Linked DNA regions of Mus musculus: region 1 is reported to be linked to region 2. The links are microRNA targets in miRTarBase. Many come from high-throughput screens and were not tested one by one. Region 2 holds a microRNA gene; the other region holds the end of a gene's coding sequence.

Region 1 (5,136 bases), not on the chromosome of region 2:
CTTCTCCCTCTGCCCGCTTCCCTTATCTCCAGGGCCTAGTGTCGCCCTGGGACCCCTATTCTGTTCTCAGCTCCTATCCAGTGTGGGATACCAGAGACTGAAAACCTGGTACCAGGGGCTGCCCTTTGTCCACCCCCCACCATGTGGGGTCAGTGGCTTTACACAGCCAGATGCCCTCCCGGGGCTGCATGCAAAGTGTCCAGCAGTCCTCCTGCATCCCCTTGCCCAGAGCACTGGAACTCTGTCCGGATGCGGGCTCTCTTCCTCCCCCTTCCCTCCCTACACCCATGGTCCCGCAGCTAAGGTCTTCTCTCCCCCGCCCCCTGCTTTTTAAACCAACCATCATTTTACCTGCTTATTATCTTAAGTATCAGTTTCGGTTGCTAGCCTGTGGCACTGTTAAGCGATGGTGAAACCTTTAGGAGCTGAGACCTAGTGGAAGGAGTTCATTTCATGTGGTGTGTGCTCTGGAATGGGACACTGGAACCCCACACTCTCACTGCTACTGGAACACAAGGTATTTTACCCACTGTCTGATCCCTACCATGTCATTTGGCCTCACAAAAAGGTTGGGGGCAAGGAAAACATCAACTCAAACACTTGCATTTGGGAACCAAAGTTCCTTTTAATATGATTTTGTTTTGTCATAGTGACAGAAAGATGACAAAGTGGCCAACATCAAGTGTGCTGTGTCTGTAGATTGTTTCTAAATCAGTACATTACTTTAAATATGTAACATTCATAAGACCTTAGTAGTACACCAGAAAACACTATTAGTTTATGCTGCATATGTGGGAGTGCAGGCATAGGCAGGTCAGGGACCAGTCTCAGGAGCTTGTTCTCTCTGGGTCCTCTGAGATCCAGGTCTCTCTGGCCTGTTCTCCTTGGGAGACTGAGATGGGACTCAGATGGGAAGGCCTGTGTGCAAACTACCTACTGATCTTTTTTTTTTTTTTTTTTTTTTTTTTTAGTTTTTTCGGGACAGGGTTTCTCTGTGTAGCCCTGGCTGTCCTGGAACTCACTCTGTAGACCAGGCTGGCCTTGAACTCAGAAATTCACCTGCCTCTGCCTCCCAAGTGCTGGGATTAAAGGCGTGCCACCACGCCCCGAGCCACTGCTGATCTATCTTGTAGGTTCATGAAAACATTGCTACTTTATTTTTTTTTTCTCCTTGGAGCTCCTAACCAGTTTTTTACCTGCACAGTAAGGGTTTTGTTGTTGTTGTTGTTGTTTTGTTTCCTTTTTAAACTTCCTTTGCTGCAGCAGCCCTGAGCTGGCTAGAAGCTGGTTCCAGGCTTCTCATTTCCGATTCATGGCTACATAAATTGATCACTTTGAAGTCGACATGGGACATGAGGGCCCTCAGTCTTTGGAAAGCCAATGCTCTGAATGATCTCTAATTTAGGCATTTCTGTGAAGACTTCAAAGGAGAGAAGCTGTTCATTAGTCGAAGTCGTGACACTTAGAAGTCAGCTTTATGGAAATATAAAGTCCAACACATTTCATTACACCAAAAGGGGGACAAAGTAGCATTTGAATAAAGTAGGCTTCTTAACACTCAGGAAATGAAAGGAGCAAAATATATATTTAAAATTTTCTTGTTTAAACAATAAAGAGTACCATGGTAAGCTAAGAAGTTGGTCTAACAAAAAAAAATCCTATCGTAAGTATATAGAATAATTAGGATATTTCTAAACTTATTAGATAGCAAAAAAAGTCTCAAAAGATATATATGCCTCCTGATACTTTGATAAAAGTATAGTTTATGTAGGCTTAACCAATGTAGACATGTTTATAGCTTCAAATTAGCAAATTCACCTATTAGTACTCTCTACATGTTATTCTACGAGTATTCTCTACGAGTTATTCTGGTTCCCAAGAACAAAGTCAGAAAACCTTTGCAATGTGCAGGTGCACATGGAAGCAGTCAGTCACCATCCGCTGTCCTGTCATGGTCCACACAAACAGCCAAGAGCCAGCATCTTCTCTCCTCCAGCCCTTAGAGGAGCAACATAACCCCAAGCCCAAGGGTTGATAAAGAATTTCCTTAGGGGAAAGGCTGCCTGGGCATTCAAGTATGCAGAAGGAACCATTCAAGTACGGCTATGAGGAATCACTCATGTAAATACAGAGGAAATGGCCAAGAGCCCTGCAAGCAAATAAAACATCAGAACGGCCTTAAATACCATGCAGGGGCTTACGGGTTTCATTTTAAAATAAGTGAAAGCCTTTCACAGCGAAGCAATGAACTAATTCCATTTCTGTTTTAAATGTCAAGAAAAAGCTGAGAGGAGTCAGGACTTGGAAGCACAGGTAGTGAGGAAGTTTAGGAGGCAGCGTGTGTTAGTTAGTTGCCTTGGCTCAATGGCAAACACCATGGACTCAATGGGTTGTCAAGTGAAAATGTATTATCCAACAGCTATGGAAGCCAGATGTTGACAGGCAAAGTGCTGGCAGAGCTGGCTTCTAGAGGTCTCTTTCTTTGGCTTATAGATTGCCTTTTTCTGTGTCCTTCCATGACTTCGTCCCCAAGCTGCCTGCAGAGCCCAGACATCTCTAGGAGGGATCCACTCAACGGCCTAATCTTACCTAGATTACCTTTCTTTGTTTAAATTTATTTATTTTATATATATGAGTGCCCTGACTTTAGAAACACCATAAAATGGCATCATATCCCATCACAAGTGGTTGCTGGCATTTGAATTCAGGACCTCTGAAGAGCAGCCAGTGCTCTTAACTGCTGAGCCATTTCTCCAGCTAGAGTGAGGACTTCAACATGTGACTTTGGAAGGATATATTCTAACAGGGTAAGTGGCACCAAGTAGATAGAAGAGAGGACAGAGTAAAGAAAAGATAGGCAGAAAAAAACCAACACAACTTCATGATGGGCTTCATATATAAGGCGGTCTTGATTTTTGGTGGGCACAATATGGGAGCCTAATACTGACAGGCCAGGCCTTTTGCTATAAACAAACAGCAGAGAGGCTTAGTGTTGCAACTGAAGCAGTAACGGAGCTTACAGACAAGCAAGAGTACAGGGTCGGGATGCAGGGGGAGGCCAAGGGACTGACCCACACCCCCAAAACGTGAACTAGGAGCAGAAGGGATCGGCATCCCGGTGAATCACATAAGAGTGGGAACAGAAGCCAAGTCTCCTAGCAGGTTCTAGAAGCTTCTCAGGTGAGGCAGGGAATCAATCAGAGCAGCAAGTACAGTCAGAACTTGGGCCGAAGATTCAGGGGCAGACGAGTTAACTCTTAGGTCTTCTCCTGAGCCATACAGATCTTTTACTTCAAGCATCCCGGTAAATACTTTTGAATAAGTCCTAGCTGACATTAGCGAATTAAGCCTTTATTTTCACTGCCCAGAACGCAGTCAGAAAACTCTGTTAAGTCACACAACTTTCATTTTCTTTCACAGGTTTCCAAATCCTTTACATGAGAAGCAGCTGAGTATGCTGTCACGTGACCTACCACGCTTAGTAAGCTCAGTCTTCAGCATTCATTCTTGACATTTCCATTTATGACCTTCCAAGTTTCAAAGCCTTCTATAAAACAAATTTTATCTACATATTCTTGTAGAGGTACTCCATGGATTAAGATCTGAACACTGCCACCTGGAACACATCTTAGAGTCTTGTGGTTTTAGGCAGTTTAACACTTTTTCACGAACTCTACTTGAGTTAGACTCATTATGTTATGGGCAGAATTGAAAGCAAGCTGCCCATGAGTTATGCTTACCCACAAGCAATACTGAGACATTGTTTAGCCAATCAGCGGAAGCTACTTAAAAGTTTCACATTATTCCAGAGACCCTAAGGCACAAGACAAAGTGACTTCTTATGTTTCTTAAAAGCAACAAAGGGAATGTATATTGTGTAAGATTTTAATAAATTTAACACTATTTTACAATAAAGAAAATTTCCACAAACATTCCCTCACAAACCTGGAAACTCTGTATTTACACAGTATTATAGCAATTTTAAATGTTAATCTATGATACAATAATGCTACTTCAGGAAACATAAAAAATATAGTACTTTTTAATGGCCATGCTCTCATTTTTGATGAAAGCTAGACAGTTCATTTTAATGTTACTTTAAACTTTTGAAAACGCATAATAGATATTCAGCCAGCTTCATTAAGCCCTTAGGACAGAAGGCCGTTCACGCAGAGTAGGCAGACGGCTCATCATCACTTAAGTCCGAATCTTCATCCACTCCTTCTATGACTGACTTCTTCCCTTTACAGCAGGATACAATTAATCCGATCAAGAACACCTTTAAATTCAAATAAGCAGTGTTACTGAAATGTAAACATTATGCAACACAGTGCCAACTCAGCAGCTGGAGTAAAGAGTGTGTGTGACACAATCGCTAAGACTTGTCACTTGGGGCAGCTAGCGAACTCCCCTAACATCATCTCCCGGAACTCTGATTCCCTTCTGGGCACCATGGGTACCTGCACACATGTGGCATTCACTCACATACATATCAAGGGCACCTCTCAAAACCATTCAGCGACAGTAATAAGATTCAGGCAGAAAACTGACATACATACAAGCATGCACTTAATTGTGTTAAAGGAAGGCCAAGTCATGTTTGGCTTCATAGACTTACCACGAGAAAGGCCCAGTTACCAAAATAGTATGCAGCACTGAAGAACCAGAACTTGTGGAGGAAAATGTATGTTCGGGTAACAGTACACTGATCTAAAGAGAGCAAATAAACAATTATGTTCAAGCTGTTTCTTTCATAAAGCAATGGCTCAGTTGATATGTTATGCAAACGATCAGCTCTGCGCCTTCTCCCATGACTGCTTTCAGTCAGAGCCAGCATTAAGCTATCAACTATTATGACATATTATGAAATAAAATGAGTGTCAATATTAGAATTTTGATACCAAAAGTAAAAGTTTTATTTATTGGCCAGTTCAACTTCTTTGAACTAGAAAAGTAAGTACAATACGGAGTCCCAGACAGATAAACAAGACAGAAAACAAGGCTTTCCTGCCAAGAAAAAAACGGAAAGAGTCATCATGCCTACTAAGTGGAGACGTGGCACTTTGTAAGGAAACTGAATCTCAGGATAGCTCACCCTTGAAAGGATTTGATGAGTTCGACAGCACCTCAGGGCAT
Region 2 (5,320 bases):
GAATAGAGGACGGTGCAGACACCTTGTACCCTGATGCTGCTGGTTTGTCTGTGCGGTCTCTCAGGATACTGCCTTGGAAAGGGAGTTATCCTCTTTTAGGTCAGCCTTCATTGGTGGGCAGGATGGACCCTACTACACAGAGAGTCATGGTTTCTTCTATGTCAAACCTACCTCAGGACTTCTCTAGGAGAAACACTTTGGGATTCAGACTTGGTGTCCGTGTGCTTCTGGGTGAGTGACCAGTTTCTGGCCAAAGCCTGGATGTCTGTACAAGTCTCTGGCCACCTGTAGGCAGGAGAGAACTCTGCAAGTCAGTCCATTGCTAGTCTGCTTTGCAGTTGGACCTGGGGGCTCATCGGAGGTAATGCCAGCCTCCCTAGAGGGTGGGAGTCAGGGAGCCAGAGCCGAGGGAGGCAGGGCTGCCTGGGGAAGAGGCGCCCTGCTCAACTCTCGGCCTGTGCTGACGTTTGATTCTTGAGCAGAGGTTGCCCTTGGTGAATTCGCTTTATTGATGTTGAATCACACAAAGGCAACTTTTGTTTGAGTATCAAAGCCTGCTTGGGGTGGCATTGGGGACACGTTACAAAGTTCTGGGGTCTCTGCAAATGTCATGTGCTAGAATGGAAGGTGTGGATATGGGGATGGTCAGGAAGGGGTGTGGCTCAGAACGCCACGTGACCAGACATGTAGTCCCAGGAACCAATGGAGAGATGCCAATATCTACTCCCTGACTCTTCTCAGCCTGAATCCTCTTTGTCACACCAGCACCTAGCCCCCCTAGTTGCAGACACACTCGCTGTTCTATCTCTACTCTGAAGATACCTTGACAAAATGAACTCTGTCCTTTGACAGTGTCAAGGACAATGGCAGCCTTCCCTCCCCACCCCCTTCCTCTCCTCAACTCACTGGGTCAGGAGTGCTCACATACCATCTGTTTTTCCCCCCTCCCACCCCACCCCCTCAACACACCTCTGTCTGTTTCTCTTTCGTCCTCATCGCTCACCAAACCTTGTTCTCCATTTTTGGATGGGTTAGGAAATGAATAGAGGCGACCAGCATTTCATCCCGTTTACATTAAATAATAGTGATAAAATAATCACAAAATAACACCACAAACTACCAGAATAGCTTGGAGGAAAATGTGTTCAATTGACTACAAATTGGCAGAAGAATCCAATTTTCTTGACAACATTTGAGCTGCGACATTTGACCTGGGGAAACAGTACTCTGTAGACATGGCAGCCGCAAGGGGCAGCTTCAGTAGTGGCGGATGCTATGAGCAGTAATATTTGTGGTAGATGAACGCACATTGAGGAATCAAATCTTCGTTCAGATTTTTAAATGGGAAAGAATTGATCCTAATGAAAATGATTTGAGGAAATAACAAGGGAAATAAAAGAAATGAAAATGGCCCAACAGCACAGTCAAGGAAGCTAAACAGGGAATTGGATTAGTTTAATGGAATTTACTTTAAAAAAAAAAAAAGGAAAGAAATGCATGTTTTTTTATGAAAATCAATGTGGGTGTGGTGTTTGAGATGGGGAAATCTATGGATATAGACTAGAGCTAGTGGGGTGATAAGAAGGACTGGTCACCATGTGGGTTTTTTTTTTTAATGTGGCTAAACTTTATTTTCCCATCCCAAACCTTTACAGAGAGCTTCATGGAGTATTCAGAAGCTGGCGGGTGTCACCTGGAGGATGTGACTGGGTACCAGTGCCAGAGCACGTGCCCACTGAGCAGTCTTCTTCACTTTCCTCGATCCTCATGAAACATTCCGGGTAAGACACTGGTTCTGGGGAGTCTGCTCTTGCCGAGCAGTTGGTACCTGGAACATTCTAGGGCCTGCCCTTCCTTGGGTTTCCATGTTGCCAGCTCCCAGGGCTAGGCTTAAAGACGTACCCATTGTTGGTGCTGAAGGGCTAGGCCCGTACGGGAGGTCATTTTAGAGTGGATGTATCCAGGGTCTAATATACTATCTGGGGTGTGATGAGCACCAGGTTTCATGGTGGCTCTCTTTCCAAAAGGATCTTTACCTCAAAGGACTCCAGAGGCTACATCATTGTCTTGGAACTGGTCAGTGGCTGGAGCTCTCTCCAGGACAAGTGCTTGGAGGAAGAACCTGGACAAGCTTCCCTCCCCATACTGTTGACTGGATCTTGTAGCTACCGTTAGCCACCATCATCGCCATTGTGTGCCTCTTAGGAGCATTTCCAGGAGGTGATGCCAGCTGGGGAAAGAGCCTCTGTCCCACAGGTCAGTTTCCAGAACACCTACATGAAGCTGCCCGTGGCGTCTTTTCCCCGTATGACACACTGCATGTGACCAGTCTCTTGCTGCCCTGCAGCAAGGCTAGAAGCCTGTGTGAACTCTTGCCAAAATCAGAGAAGGGATTCTGATGTTGGTCACACTCCAAGAGTTTTAAAATGAGTGGCGAACACAGAATCCATACTCTGCTTATGGCCTAAGTCAATGGATCCTGACCCTTACTGGAGAGCCCTCCCTGGCGTGCTCGTGCGGGGCAGCCATACACACTGGCACAAGGGGACCCTGCGGGATCTCCTTCCGCTGTTCTTTCTCTCCTCCCTCCATGTTTATCTTTGAAGCATTACTTGCTTGGTTTATAGGACTGGATGGTCAAGCAGTTCTTGCTATGACATCACCGTGGGGGGAGGGGGCAGGTGACAGGGCGGGGATGCCAGGGTCGTGGGGCTGCAGTGGTTGGGTGGGCCCAAGGAGGAGCATCTCTGGATGATGCAGTCATTGCCTCCTCGCTTCTGGAAGGCATCGTCTCTGGGAGGGTGGTGTGGTATATGCGCAGGGTCTCAGCATCTCCCTATCTCCAGCTTACAAAGGAGAGATAGAGTAAGCAGAGTTCTGCACCCACTTCTGCCCCGAGTCAGCTCCTCGCTACCTGGGTCTCAAGGTTGTCTGGGAAGGCTTTAGATATTCTTGGAAGGTGAAAGGGTGGTAGATTGCACTGGGGAGGTGATGGAATAATTGCTTTCACGTGGTGGAGGGTGGCTCCTCACTGAATGGGGAGTTATAATCTCTGAGGGGCTCCAGGATGGTTCTTCTGGAAACTCAGCCATCGGCCTCGTTCTGAGCATCCGAGCCTCTCCGTGGTACTCGGAGAGAGGTTACCCGAGCAACTTTGCATCTGGAGGACGAATGTTGCTCGGTGAACCCCTTTTCGGTATCAAATCCCTCCAGGGAGGCCACCTCAGGGAAGACCATGGACTCATCTCGCTCTGGGGTATGGGACGGATGGTCGACCAGCTGGAAAGTAATTGTTTCTAATGTACTTCACCTGGTCCACTAGCCGTCGGTGCCCGCTGCAGCCTGCGCCCAGGATGTCACAGCCTCAGCTCAACACCTCTGCTGGTACTTGAAGGGAGATCGACCGTGTTATATTCGCTTGGCTGACTTCGAATAATACATGGTTGATCTTTTCTCAGTATCAACGCTCAGCTTGGAGAAGCTCTTGGAGTTGCAGCCCCTGTGGGGGTGGGGACAGCATGGTGCTTCTAGGTTGCTGCCTCCGCGGGGAACTGGGCTGGGTGGAACAGGCTGTGTGCTGCCTGTGTCAACCCTACTCACCATTTATATGCAATCCCCCCCTTCCCCCCAGGACAGCTTCAGGTGGTGATTCCAGCTCCAGGGTTGCTGCGGTCAACACTGGGTACTTGAGGAGAGGTTGTCTGTGATGAGTTCGCTTTATTAATGACGAATATAACACAGATGGCCTGTTTTCAATACCACCTGCCACTCCGGTCACTCGGCAGTACATACCAGGTGTCACACCACTGCCCGGTAGGTAAATGCATGGACTCTGTATGACGCTTGTCACCCCCTCTTCACTGAACCTCAGCTCTGAGGAGCCTCCTGGGATCGCACCAACCTTGTAGGCTGGGCCACGAAGCATTGGCCAGATGTGCAATGGATGGCTGTCCACTTTCCATGCCTCTTTCCCGCCACAACAATGGGTGTTTGTCCCTGTCTAAGGCTTCCACCGAGGGCTGCATGCTCAAATGCCCTGTACCCTGGGTGCTTCTCAATACCATGAGGGCTTGGAGGGGCTAGCATGATACTTAGGGAAGAGCCAGGCCAGTTGGTTACACGTGCAGTTCCTAGTATCTGAGGTGAGATTGCCCGTGACGGGTTTCCATTCTTAATGCTGGTACAGTGCATGGTCACCTCTCTTTATCATTGGCTCTTACTGTGTGAGCATGGGTGTCAGGGGAGGGACACACTTTGCTGACCCACTGGACACCACTGATGGTCAGGCATGTAGCTGACTCATCCTGACCCAGAGCCTCACATCTCCTGAGGTGGGGGTTGGGAAGTCCAGAAGGGCATCTTAGAGGAAGAAGCATCCTAAGTAGAGTCCGTGCTGGTGGTACCTGAGCTAGCTTGTCTCTGAGACGTTTGTTTTCTATCTGATGACTATCCCACAGCCTACTTCTCTGCACCATGTCCTACCCTAGACCATTTCTACTTTGAGGCATTGATGCCAAGAACTGAAGCCTTTGTGTTGGTTGACTCTCTAGTCTGTATGTGAGACCATCCCTTGGCCTGTCTTGTCCTCAGTGCCACCCTGTTGGAAATAGCACAGAATGTCCTCCTGAGTCTACAAGGCAGTGATACCCAAGCTCTGTCCCTGCTTCACGAGCACAGGGGGCCCAGTAGGGATTAGCCTGCACTTCTTTTTTTTTTTTTTTTTTTTTATTTTTTTTTTTTTTTTCATTTTTTTTTTATTAGGTATTTAGCTCATTTACATTTCCAATGCTATACCAAAAGTCCCCCTTACCCACCCACCCCCACTCCCCTACCCACCCACTCCCCCCCTTTGGCCCTGGCGTTCCCCTGTACCGGGGCACACAAAGTCTGCGTGTCCAATGTAGCCTGCACTTCTTCATGTTTCCTCCAACTTAACACTCTGGCTCTGTCAGACTCCTGTGAGCTTACTGTAGAGGCTTGACCTAGAGTCTCAAGGACCCCAGAAAGTACCTGATCACACCCAGTAGGAGCCTTTGAAAGACAGGCTATAGATTTTTGGTATTTAGTAAGGCTCCCCAGGGTGGCAAAGAGCTCTTTCTGATTGGGCTTGCTCCCCATTGGAGCAAGTAGCACCCTCACCCTGGCAACTCCACCCTGCATGCTTTTTCTCCTCTTCTGGGCCTCCTCAGCAGCAAAATGCTCTTCCAACAGAGATAGTGGCTGCGCACCCTGGCTTGTACCTAGCACATGGTCTCCTTTAGATTTCTTCTCTTGTTCAGGATGGTCTGCCCAGGCGCCCTCTCTCTGGGAGTTGGTCCTG

What was found. Region 2 holds the annotated microRNA mmu-miR-412-3p (UUCACCUGGUCCACUAGCCG, at 3,306-3,325, shown strand). A microRNA usually pairs through its seed, bases 2 to 8, with sites in the 3' UTR of a target mRNA and lowers its output. Matches are read on the target gene's strand: a 7mer-m8 pairs with bases 2 to 8, a 7mer-A1 pairs with bases 2 to 7 and ends in A, and an 8mer does both.
Region 1: the mRNA of Lmbrd1 is a reported target of mmu-miR-412-3p. Seed matches in the 3' UTR shown: 7mer-A1 at 1,814-1,820 and 8mer at 1,055-1,062.

Annotation. Positions count from the first base shown.
Region 1 is chr1:24,761,766-24,766,901 of GRCm38, reverse strand. It overlaps Lmbrd1 (LMBR1 domain containing 1), which reads right to left. Exons shown (of 16, transcript NM_026719.2): 15 at 4,619-4,710; 16 at 601-4,279. The coding sequence ends at 4,166. Among named protein-coding and RNA genes, the nearest start is that of Lmbrd1, 86 kb to the right of the region's middle.
Region 2 is chr12:109,740,035-109,745,354 of GRCm38, forward strand. It overlaps Mir412 (microRNA 412), which reads left to right and starts at 3,255; the gene lies at 3,255-3,334. Mirg (miRNA containing gene) reads left to right here. Exons shown (of 8, transcript NR_028265.1): 3 at 1,656-1,781; 4 at 2,028-2,256; 5 at 3,323-3,384; 6 at 3,632-3,813. It overlaps Mir377 (microRNA 377), which reads left to right and starts at 476; the gene lies at 476-543. Mir541 (microRNA 541) reads left to right here and starts at 2,375; the gene lies at 2,375-2,464. It also overlaps Mir409, Mir369 and Mir410.